3 linked regions of the Saccharomyces cerevisiae S288C genome follow. The gene in region 1 interacts genetically with each later gene. Each region holds a gene or a part of one and is shown in the gene's direction. Other genes may lie near its edges.

Evidence for each region.
Region 2: mutations in CTK1 (region 1) and BRE1 are lethal when combined (synthetic lethality), as found in Saccharomyces cerevisiae (5 studies listed by BioGRID, with this or other methods).
Region 3: mutations in CTK1 (region 1) and RTF1 are lethal when combined (synthetic lethality), as found in Saccharomyces cerevisiae (4 studies listed by BioGRID, with this or other methods).

The regions. Positions count from the first base shown.
Region 1 is NC_001143.9:181,449-185,044, forward strand, and holds CTK1 (cyclin-dependent serine/threonine protein kinase CTK1), read left to right. Parts: upstream 1-1,509; coding exon 1,510-3,096; downstream 3,097-3,596. Other genes in the region: TGL1 (sterol esterase), read left to right, coding at 1-977; HSK3 (Hsk3p), read right to left, coding at 3,355-3,564. UniProt on the Saccharomyces cerevisiae protein: Catalytic subunit of the CTDK-I complex, which hyperphosphorylates the C-terminal heptapeptide repeat domain (CTD) of the largest RNA polymerase II subunit.
Region 2 is NC_001136.10:324,428-328,265, reverse strand, and holds the start of BRE1 (E3 ubiquitin-protein ligase BRE1), read left to right. Parts: upstream 1-2,116; coding exon 2,117-3,838. Other genes in the region: AHK1 (Ahk1p), read right to left, coding at 1-1,653. UniProt on the Saccharomyces cerevisiae protein: E3 ubiquitin-protein ligase that mediates monoubiquitination of histone H2B to form H2BK123ub1 in association with the E2 enzyme RAD6/UBC2.
Region 3 is NC_001139.9:39,498-43,335, forward strand, and holds RTF1 (RNA polymerase-associated protein), read left to right. Parts: upstream 1-2,000; coding exon 2,001-3,677; downstream 3,678-3,838. Other genes in the region: glutamate--tRNA ligase GUS1, read left to right, coding at 1-1,652; TAD1 (tRNA-specific adenosine deaminase), read left to right, coding at 3,810-3,838.

The DNA.
Region 1 (3,596 bases):
TTATAGCCATAGCACCCGCTATGACTCCAAAGGGGTTGCACAACAGAATTGTCGATACCTTGGCCAAATCATCGCCCGGCTTTATGTATCTTTTCTTTGGTAGGAAAATTGTGTTACCTTCAGCTGTCATTTGGCAAAGAACTTTACATCCAACACTTTTCAATTTGTGTATCGATATCGCAAACAAGATACTGTTCAATTGGAAGTCGTTTAACATTCTACCGAGACAAAAGATTGCTTCTTACGCAAAACTTTATTCAACGACCAGTGTAAAATCCATTGTTCACTGGTTCCAAATATTAAGATCTCAGAAATTTCAAATGTTTGAAGAGTCTGATAACATGCTAAATTCCTTAACTAGGCCTTACCAAATTGCTAATTTTCCTACTAGAACAAATATCAAGATTCCCATTCTTTTAATTTATGGTGGCATAGATTCTTTAGTTGATATTGATGTGATGAAAAAAAATCTACCCTTCAACTCCGTCTTTGATGTTAAAGTTGACAATTATGAACACCTGGATTTGATTTGGGGCAAAGATGCCGATACCTTGGTCATTGCTAAAGTCTTGAGGTTTATTGAATTTTTTAACCCTGGTAATGTTTCAGTGAAGACTAACCAGTTACTACCATCAGCAAGTCTGGTTGAGGAATTACCAAGCACGACATGGAAGACAACTCATCCAACGCATGGTCTCAGTTATAGAACTCACTCGGCAGACCGTTCTCCGTTGTCTGTACAAGCTGATGAAGCGGATGAGGTCCACAATGCTGACAATTCAAGGTTCTTAAGACGAGTGTTTTCTACTAGTGCCATAGACGAGGACAACGAAAATGAGCACCAGGATGATACAGAAGATCAAATCCATAAGGAGCAGCAAAGACGGTTAAGTGCCTATCTGGAATCATCCAAAGATTTACGACAACTAGATGCCAACTCTTCGACAACTGCGCTGGATGCTCTAAATAAAGAATGAAAAGAATGCGAGAGAAACCCTATTAAACTATTTTTTGTCTAGGATAATAATATTAGCGCTAATCTAAAAATCGATGAACTAAAGAAAGAATATACGTACGTTTTATACACAATAAATGGATTTCATAAGAAGTCCTTAATATCCTCATGCTTGTGGATACTGGAAATTAGTAAAGTAATTAACTTCCTTTTAGCATTATTCTTATTTGGCTTAAAAAGGTCACGTGAAGCTCTATTTTTTTCGTTTTTTTTTTTCACTGATGGAAGAGAAAAACCTCTACATAATAAGGTAACTTTACATATTGATTGCCAATGAGATGTTAAAAAATGGACGGTTCAGACAGTAAAATACATTTAGAAAAAAAGAGAAGGTCTTATCAGTGTATTTATTCACTGTGCATATTAGCTTTTTTTGGACTTTTTTTGTTCCATTAGTACTTTTAAAAAACCTATTTGTAAATAAAACTAATTCTAGCACTATTCTTTGCACTAGAATAACACAGGGACCATACAGCATAAATTATTTGGTAACAATGTCCTACAATAATGGCAATACTTATTCAAAGAGTTATAGCAGAAATAATAAGAGACCCTTGTTCGGAAAGAGGTCGCCAAATCCTCAGTCCCTAGCGAGACCACCGCCACCAAAGAGAATACGGACTGATAGTGGTTACCAGTCGAATATGGACAATATATCTTCTCATAGGGTAAATTCAAATGACCAACCAGGCCACACGAAAAGTCGTGGTAACAATAATTTATCTCGCTATAACGATACATCCTTTCAAACAAGTTCCAGATATCAAGGTTCAAGATACAACAATAATAATACGTCGTATGAAAATAGGCCTAAAAGCATAAAAAGGGATGAAACAAAGGCTGAATTCCTGTCTCATTTGCCAAAGGGGCCCAAATCTGTTGAGAAATCAAGATATAATAATTCATCCAATACTAGTAATGATATAAAAAATGGCTATCATGCTTCAAAATACTATAACCACAAAGGCCAGGAAGGGCGGTCTGTCATAGCTAAGAAAGTTCCAGTTTCGGTTCTAACGCAGCAAAGGAGCACGTCAGTTTACCTAAGGATAATGCAAGTCGGAGAAGGAACATATGGTAAAGTTTACAAGGCAAAAAACACGAATACAGAGAAGTTAGTAGCGCTGAAAAAATTGAGATTACAAGGAGAGAGGGAAGGCTTTCCCATAACCTCTATACGAGAGATTAAACTACTACAAAGTTTTGATCATCCAAATGTCTCTACTATAAAAGAAATAATGGTCGAATCTCAAAAAACTGTATATATGATATTTGAATATGCTGACAACGACTTAAGTGGATTACTATTAAATAAGGAAGTCCAAATTTCTCACTCACAATGCAAACATCTCTTCAAACAATTGCTATTAGGAATGGAATATTTACATGATAATAAGATTTTACACCGTGATGTTAAAGGCTCAAACATCTTAATCGATAACCAGGGGAATCTAAAAATAACAGATTTTGGACTAGCGAGGAAAATGAATTCGCGAGCTGATTACACTAACCGTGTCATTACGTTGTGGTACAGACCACCAGAACTATTGTTGGGAACTACAAATTATGGAACAGAAGTTGACATGTGGGGTTGTGGCTGCCTCCTGGTGGAATTATTCAATAAAACTGCAATTTTCCAGGGCTCTAATGAATTAGAGCAAATAGAATCAATTTTCAAGATTATGGGAACTCCTACAATAAATAGCTGGCCAACGCTTTACGATATGCCGTGGTTTTTTATGATTATGCCACAGCAAACTACCAAGTATGTCAACAATTTTTCTGAGAAATTTAAAAGCGTTTTACCATCTTCAAAATGTCTGCAATTGGCGATTAATTTGTTATGTTATGATCAGACGAAAAGGTTTAGTGCAACCGAAGCTTTACAAAGCGACTATTTCAAGGAAGAACCAAAGCCTGAACCTTTAGTTCTTGATGGATTGGTAAGTTGCCACGAATATGAAGTCAAATTGGCAAGAAAACAAAAGCGTCCTAACATACTATCCACCAACACAAACAATAAGGGTAATGGTAATAGTAATAATAATAATAATAATAATAATGACGATGATGATAAATAAGGATATATAGCCAATTGAAATAAGTAGACACAAAAAATAGATTAATAACTTATTTATTACGCGATACCCGTAAATATGATACGAACATCTAATTTCATGTGAAGCGGCCTAGTGAATAGAAGGTTTGCCTATTTTCACTCGTTCACTATACGTAACTTGGTTGTCTTTTTATGCAAGCTGTTTGTCCATCGTACCAACACCATCTCATTTCACATCTTATAAATTAGCCTGGCCACTAACTGTCTTACCTCTTATGCCTTATTGCGTTTTTCCAAGCATCTGCTCCATATAATAAATGTAACTACCTATCAACCAACTTCCATGTACCTTACCCAATTGGCCTACCAAGTTTTCGTTACATTGTTTCGACATGATATCTAGTTGTTTTGTCGTTTCCTGTAAATTCGTTTGAAGCTCTCTAAGTTCGTGTGCAAGCTGATTATACTGCCTTTGTTTGTTAGCGTTCATTCTCTTGCCTGAAATTCTTTGTGTCCTCTTCG
Region 2 (3,838 bases), on another chromosome or scaffold:
TAATGAAGAAGAATTTTGAACACTTGGAATGATTTTAAAAACTAATACCTTCATAAATAAAATTCTAATCAAAGGAAATTCGTTTTCAAAAATCAATGACTCCCAAAAATCACTTAACAGCACTTTTACTATTTCATCGCGGTCCTCAATGGTTACGTGCTTCCAAATATTGAAAAGGCATAATAAAGAAACAGTCTGGCAGTTAACATTTTTGGTCCTTAACATACTCAAAAGCCCATTGTACCACGACCTCCATTGAATGAATTTCAGAGAAGGTAAACTTTCAAACTGGAAAATAATAAACTGGAGAACCTTATTGTAAATGACGTTCGCTGCAATATAATCGTACGCTGAAATAGTGGAGACATAGTCTATCAATAGAGACTCATGTAAGGAAAGCATATTTTCCAGGTATTCCGGATGATTTTCTTTAAGAATGCATCCTGAAAGGCTTCTAAGACATTCCCATAATTTGATTGTCTTAAAATTAGAAAATACGTAATCATTAATCCTTTCAGATGTAATTAAAGCATTGCTACTATTCAAACTCTTGAAATTTGGATGTGACTCTGTCACATTCTCATTTGCTATCCTTGGATTCGGCGTTTGTTTAATAATCCGCGTGAATTTATTCAAATCTGAATTCAAGAATCTAGTGGTTACATGCGTCAATAAAATTTCTGAGCCAGGTATGCATGACAATGTCGATTTTTTAATTCCTACATCTGAATCAGAGAATTTCATAAATTGAAGTATGATATACCAATAGTGCCAATAAAATGACATAAGTACAAAATCATTTTTAATATAAGAAACAATGATCTTAAAAAATTTAGTATCTTTATTTTCAAAAGCTTCAGTGCGGATCATTTGTCCCTGATCGTCGGTGAATTTATATTGTCTCTTCTTCCATGAAAACAAAGATGTTTGAATACTTGAAGAGATTTGAGGAGAAACTGTCAATAACAAAATTGTATCGAAATGAAAGTCTTCTGGTAGATAAAAAAATGCGTAAGCATTTAACTTCCCGATGAATGCTCGCAGCAAGGAAGAATATTTGTTAAGGTATTGCAGCTTCTTGTCGTTTATAGAGCACTTGTCATCACTATTTGTACGTTTAAGTTTTTTGGAGTTTTTAGAAATCAAAATCAACTTGTTTGTTATGCAATGAATGGTCAGCAAAAGATGATGTGAGTATATTTCCATGTCTCTGGATGAATGGAAAGGCAATATTATTAGTATGGTCATAATTTTGCTGAGGCACTCGAGACACACGGAAGTTAGTTCTATGCTCAAGCTCAATTCAAGGGCAGTATCTATTTGAAGCGAGGTGTCAGAATTTAGAAAGTTTAAAAGTGTGACCCACCATTGGGTCAAAACATCTCTAACCTCCAGTGTACAGTTGCTTCGTGAAGAATCACACCATTGTCTTAGAACCGTTAGTAGTTTCAAGCGTAAAAAATTTGAGGAGGATTTGCAAAATTTTGTATTTTGTTCTTTATTACTAGCTGACTGATTAGCATTGTTTATGAAATTGATAAACCTGTTCAACGATTGAAATAATTGAGTTTCATAATTGTCCATCAAGAAGCCATCTTGAGACGTAGTCTTTAATCCACATTCATATAGTTGATTATGTATGGCAGGACCCATGCTTAATGAGCAATATGATCTTTAGTGCTACAACAATGCGTATATAGCATACGAAGCACAATCGAGTTCAGAATTGTTTCTCTACCCACGAAAGATAATATTGGGAAAATCACTGGTGAAATTCTGAGATCGTTAATTTCAGTGGATTCAAAAAGAAAGAGCAGATCGACAATAGGCACTAAGGATGTCTTCTAACTTTGAAATGAAGCACCAACTGATCGTACTTTGATCAAACCATCGTTATTATATAAAAGTGACAAAAGCATTTGATCACGTGATTATAATCACATCCAACGAAACTTTCTTAAAGAAGGCGAAAAAACAAAAAAGAAGAAGATTAAAAAAAGTTGGATGGATGTTGTTTGAACGGTAAACTAACAGAGAGCGCCCCAAGGTTTTTAACAGAGATAGAAAGGGCTTTCACCGTTTTTATGCTAATCGTGCTAGCTGATAATAATCAGATATGACGGCCGAGCCTGCTACTAAGAAGATCAAGCTAGAATTAAGCGATCCTAGTGAACCGCTTACTCAATCTGATGTGATAGCGTTTCAAAAAGAAGCTTTGTTTAGATGTATAAATCGTCGAAGAGTCGACTTTGAAGCCTTGCGAAAGCAATATGAACTTTCAAGAAGGGAGTGCATAGATGTTTCCCGCAAGTTGGCAAATATTATGGCGCTGATAGTAACTTTAGCTAGGTTTATCGAAACATTCTGCACAGACGCCAACGAGAAGCAACTATGTAGGGAAATAGCCCAAGGCGATGAGACGTTGATAGTTCAGCGCAGTGATTCTTTCATGAAGCTACTGACTAAATATGGGAAGCCAAACACGACAGATAGTAATACTAATAGTAATGCTTCGGATCATATTCAAGAATTAACAACGGAGTTAAAAAACTTGCGGAAAAGTAAAGAGGAGCTCTTTTATGAAAATTCGCAATTGACAGAGGAGATTTCTGCTTTGAAGGAATATTATACAAATATAATTCGCAAGTATGATAGAGATGAATCCTTTACTATAAAACGTGTTTTTAAGGAAGATAAGACTGATGCTGTAAAGGAATTACGGGAAGATGAAAAAGAATCTAATGAAAACAATATAAAATCTGGAAATAAAGACTCCTCTGCAATTAATGGTGATAATACATCCAAAAAATCCGAGAAAGGTGATGAACTTGTGCAGGCGGAGGATGAACGAAAAGAAGATGCTGAGAATGAAAAATTAGAATTGGATCTGAAATTTTCTGATTTACGGGCAGAGATAAACTCCTTGAGTTCCACTATAAAAGACCTTGAAAATATCAGAAGGGAAAACGAGGAAGAGCTCATCAAAACACGTTCTGAGGTATCCAATTTAAAAAAGCAACAGATAGCAGCAGCAGACCAAGACCCAGATTTCAAGTCATATGACCATGAGTCCCTGTTAGCAAAAATTCAACATTTGACTGAACAAAACGCAGAATTATCTGAGATCAATAGTTCCTTTTTATCAAAATTTCAAGTTTTAGCCAAAGAGAAAGAAATATATACGAAGAAGGTCCGAGAAGAATTCCAGAAAAGTCTCGACTCCCTAGTAGAAATGAACAGTTCATTGGAAAAGGACGTTGTAAGAATAAGAACGGCTCGTGATGATTTACTAAGCAAAATCGCCATTTTGGAAGCTGAAAAATCCAAGACTGAAGTGTTGAGCGATTTACAACATGCAATTGATATTTTGAAGGAGCAATGGACAAAAATTGATCAAAGATCAAACGATACAAAATCCTCGTCGACTCAAGATGCATTAATAAAGGAAATTCAAGACTTAGAGAAGGGTTTTAGAGAGTTATCCGACTTAACTCATAAAAAGTACTCTGAGATTATTAATCACGAATCTGTTATATCCAAGCTTACCGTAGAAAAAACTAAGGCTGATCAGAAATATTTTGCCGCGATGAGGTCCAAAGATTCAATTTTAATTGAAATCAAAACTCTTTCTAAAAGCCTCAGTAAATCAAATGAGCTTATTCTACAGTTAAAGGACTCTGATAGATTGCTACAGCAAAAAATAGGAAATTTACATAAACAACTGGATCTTTCTCAAAATAATGAACGCAGGTTAATTGATTCCAGTAAAACAGAGACACTAAAAATAATTGATTTAAATAATACATCCACTAAACTGAAAAGGTCATTAGAAAAGCTA
Region 3 (3,838 bases), on another chromosome or scaffold:
TCGGCGAAGCTCACGATTTCTTGAGCAAATCTTTACTAGAATTAAAGAAAAGTGCTAATGTGGGTAAGAAGAAGGAAACTCACAAGGCTAACTTTGAAATTGATTTGCCAGATGCCAAAATGGGTGAAGTCGTCACTCGTTTCCCACCTGAACCTTCTGGATACTTACATATTGGACATGCCAAAGCTGCCTTGTTGAACCAATATTTTGCTCAAGCTTACAAGGGTAAGTTGATTATTAGATTCGATGACACCAACCCATCGAAGGAAAAGGAAGAATTCCAAGACTCTATTTTGGAAGATTTGGATTTATTAGGAATCAAGGGTGATAGAATAACCTACTCATCTGACTACTTCCAAGAAATGTACGACTACTGTGTTCAAATGATCAAGGATGGTAAAGCTTACTGTGACGACACTCCAACTGAAAAGATGAGAGAAGAACGTATGGATGGTGTTGCTTCTGCCAGAAGAGATCGTTCTGTTGAAGAGAACTTAAGAATTTTTACCGAAGAAATGAAAAACGGTACTGAAGAAGGTTTGAAGAACTGTGTTCGTGCCAAGATCGATTACAAGGCTTTGAACAAGACTCTAAGAGATCCTGTCATTTACAGATGTAATCTAACCCCTCACCACAGAACCGGATCAACTTGGAAGATCTACCCAACTTATGATTTCTGTGTCCCAATTGTTGATGCTATTGAAGGTGTTACCCACGCTTTACGTACCATTGAATATAGAGACCGTAACGCTCAATATGATTGGATGTTACAAGCTTTGCGTTTGAGAAAAGTCCATATTTGGGATTTCGCTCGTATCAATTTCGTTAGAACCTTGTTGTCTAAGAGAAAGTTACAATGGATGGTTGACAAGGACTTGGTCGGAAATTGGGACGATCCAAGGTTCCCAACTGTCAGGGGTGTGAGAAGAAGAGGTATGACTGTCGAAGGTTTGAGGAACTTCGTCTTATCCCAAGGTCCATCCAGAAATGTCATTAACTTGGAATGGAACTTGATCTGGGCTTTCAACAAGAAGGTCATTGATCCAATTGCTCCAAGACACACTGCTATCGTCAACCCAGTTAAAATCCACTTGGAAGGCTCCGAAGCTCCACAAGAACCAAAGATTGAAATGAAACCAAAACACAAGAAAAACCCAGCTGTGGGCGAAAAGAAAGTCATTTACTACAAAGACATTGTTGTCGACAAAGATGATGCTGACGTCATCAATGTTGATGAAGAAGTCACTTTAATGGACTGGGGTAATGTCATTATTACTAAAAAGAATGACGATGGTTCTATGGTTGCCAAATTGAATTTGGAAGGTGATTTCAAAAAGACCAAGCACAAGTTGACTTGGTTAGCTGATACTAAAGATGTCGTCCCTGTTGATTTAGTTGACTTCGACCATTTGATTACCAAGGACAGATTGGAAGAAGACGAAAGTTTCGAAGATTTCTTGACTCCTCAAACAGAATTCCACACGGATGCCATTGCTGACTTGAATGTTAAGGATATGAAGATTGGTGATATCATCCAATTCGAAAGAAAGGGCTACTACAGATTGGATGCTTTACCCAAGGATGGTAAGCCATATGTCTTTTTTACCATCCCAGATGGTAAATCTGTCAACAAGTATGGTGCAAAGAAATAAGCATCACATAAGTAATGTATATACATATTTATGTTATTTCTCAACCAGTACCTTTTGAACAATATCTTTTATAAGTGAATGGTTTGCTTTCTGAACCAGTCCTGTGTTCGCTGCCTTGAATCATGTAAGGATAGCAGCTTATGACATGTATGTCTACCTATAGAACTTTGACTGTAAAAGTTTATCATCCATTACCCGGTTTTGTAATTTTGACAATTTATATTTTATTGAAATTGGTTCAAATAGTGACTACGAGCTGGAAGGAAAATATTCAAAGTTACAAAAGGTACTTGAAGGATACCAAAGTTTGTAATTGTATTGCACTAATTTGTTGAGAGCACTATAGAAATGTCTGATTTAGATGAGGATTTATTAGCCTTGGCTGGTGCCGATGAATCCGAAGAAGAAGATCAAGTTTTGACAACTACATCTGCCAAAAGGGCAAAAAACAACGACCAATCTCTTTCCAAGAAAAGGAGAATTGAAGTCGGCAGTGTAGAGGATGATGATGAGGAGGACGATTATAACCCTTACTCTGTAGGAAATGCAGACTACGGTTCCGAAGAAGAAGAAGAAGCTAATCCTTTTCCCTTGGAAGGAAAGTACAAGGATGAGAGCGACAGAGAGCACCTGGAATCCTTACCTGAAATGGAACGTGAGACTCTATTATTTGAAAGATCTCAAATCATGCAGAAGTACCAGGAGAGGAAACTTTTTAGAGCACGTGGAAGAGATATGAAGGAACAACAACAGAGAGCCAAGAACGACGAAGATTCCAGAAAGACCAGAGCTTCCACTAGATCAACCCATGCTACTGGGCATTCTGATATCAAGGCTTCAAAACTTTCGCAATTAAAGAAACAAAGAGCGAGGAAAAACCGTCACTACAGCGATAATGAAGACGAAGACGATGAGGAAGATTACAGGGAAGAAGACTACAAGGACGATGAAGGGAGTGAATACGGGGATGATGAAGAATACAATCCTTTTGATAGAAGGGATACATACGACAAAAGAGAAGAAGTGGAGTGGGCTGAAGAGGAGGACGAGCAAGACAGAGAGCCTGAGATTTCTGATTTCAACAAACTAAGGATCGGTCGTTCATTTGTCGCAAAATTTTGTTTTTATCCCGGGTTTGAAGATGCAGTCAAAGGTTGTTATGGGAGAGTCAATGTTGGCACAGATAAACGTACCGGCAAAACTTCTTACCGTATGGTGAGAATTGAGAGAGTTTTCTTGCAAAAACCTTACAATATGGGTAAGTTCTATACTAACCAGTATTTCGGTGTTACCCAAGGTAAAGACAGAAAGGTTTTTCAAATGAATTATTTTAGTGATGGTTTGTTTGCCGAAGACGAATACCAAAGGTATCTCAGGGCATTGGATAATTCGCAAATGATTAAACCTTCTTTACATTCTTTGAGTAACAAAACGAAAGAGGTTATGGATTTTGTCAATACACCATTGACTGATAAAACTACAGATGAGGTTGTTCGCCATAGGATGCAATTCAATAAAAAACTATCTGGTACGAATGCAGTCTTGGAGAAAACTGTATTGAGAGAAAAATTGCAATATGCCAAGGAGACTAATAATGAAAAGGACATTGCAAAATACTCTGCTCAGTTAAGAAACTTTGAGAAACGAATGTCTGTATACGAGAAGCATCATGAAAATGACCAATCTGACATTAAAAAACTAGGCGAGTTGACCTCTAAGAATAGAAAATTGAATATGAGTAACATCAGAAATGCAGAGCATGTGAAAAAAGAAGACAGTAATAACTTTGATTCAAAGAGCGATCCTTTCAGCAGGCTAAAAACCAGGACCAAAGTTTACTATCAGGAGATACAAAAGGAAGAAAACGCAAAAGCTAAAGAAATTGCACAACAAGAGAAGCTACAAGAAGATAAAGATGCTAAAGATAAGCGTGAGAAAGAGCTACTTGTGGCACAATTCAGGCGCCTTGGTGGGTTGGAGCGCATGGTTGGTGAATTGGATATCAAATTTGACCTTAAGTTTTAGTAGGCAGGACAATTTCAGTGTTTGTAAAAATATATTTATATTTATATATTTAAATATACTAAATAAAAATAATACTATCATCGTTGTGATGCAAAAAAAAAAAAAAATGAACAGAAAATAATAGTGATGTGAATGGTTTCGTGCCAAGGAACAAGGCCATG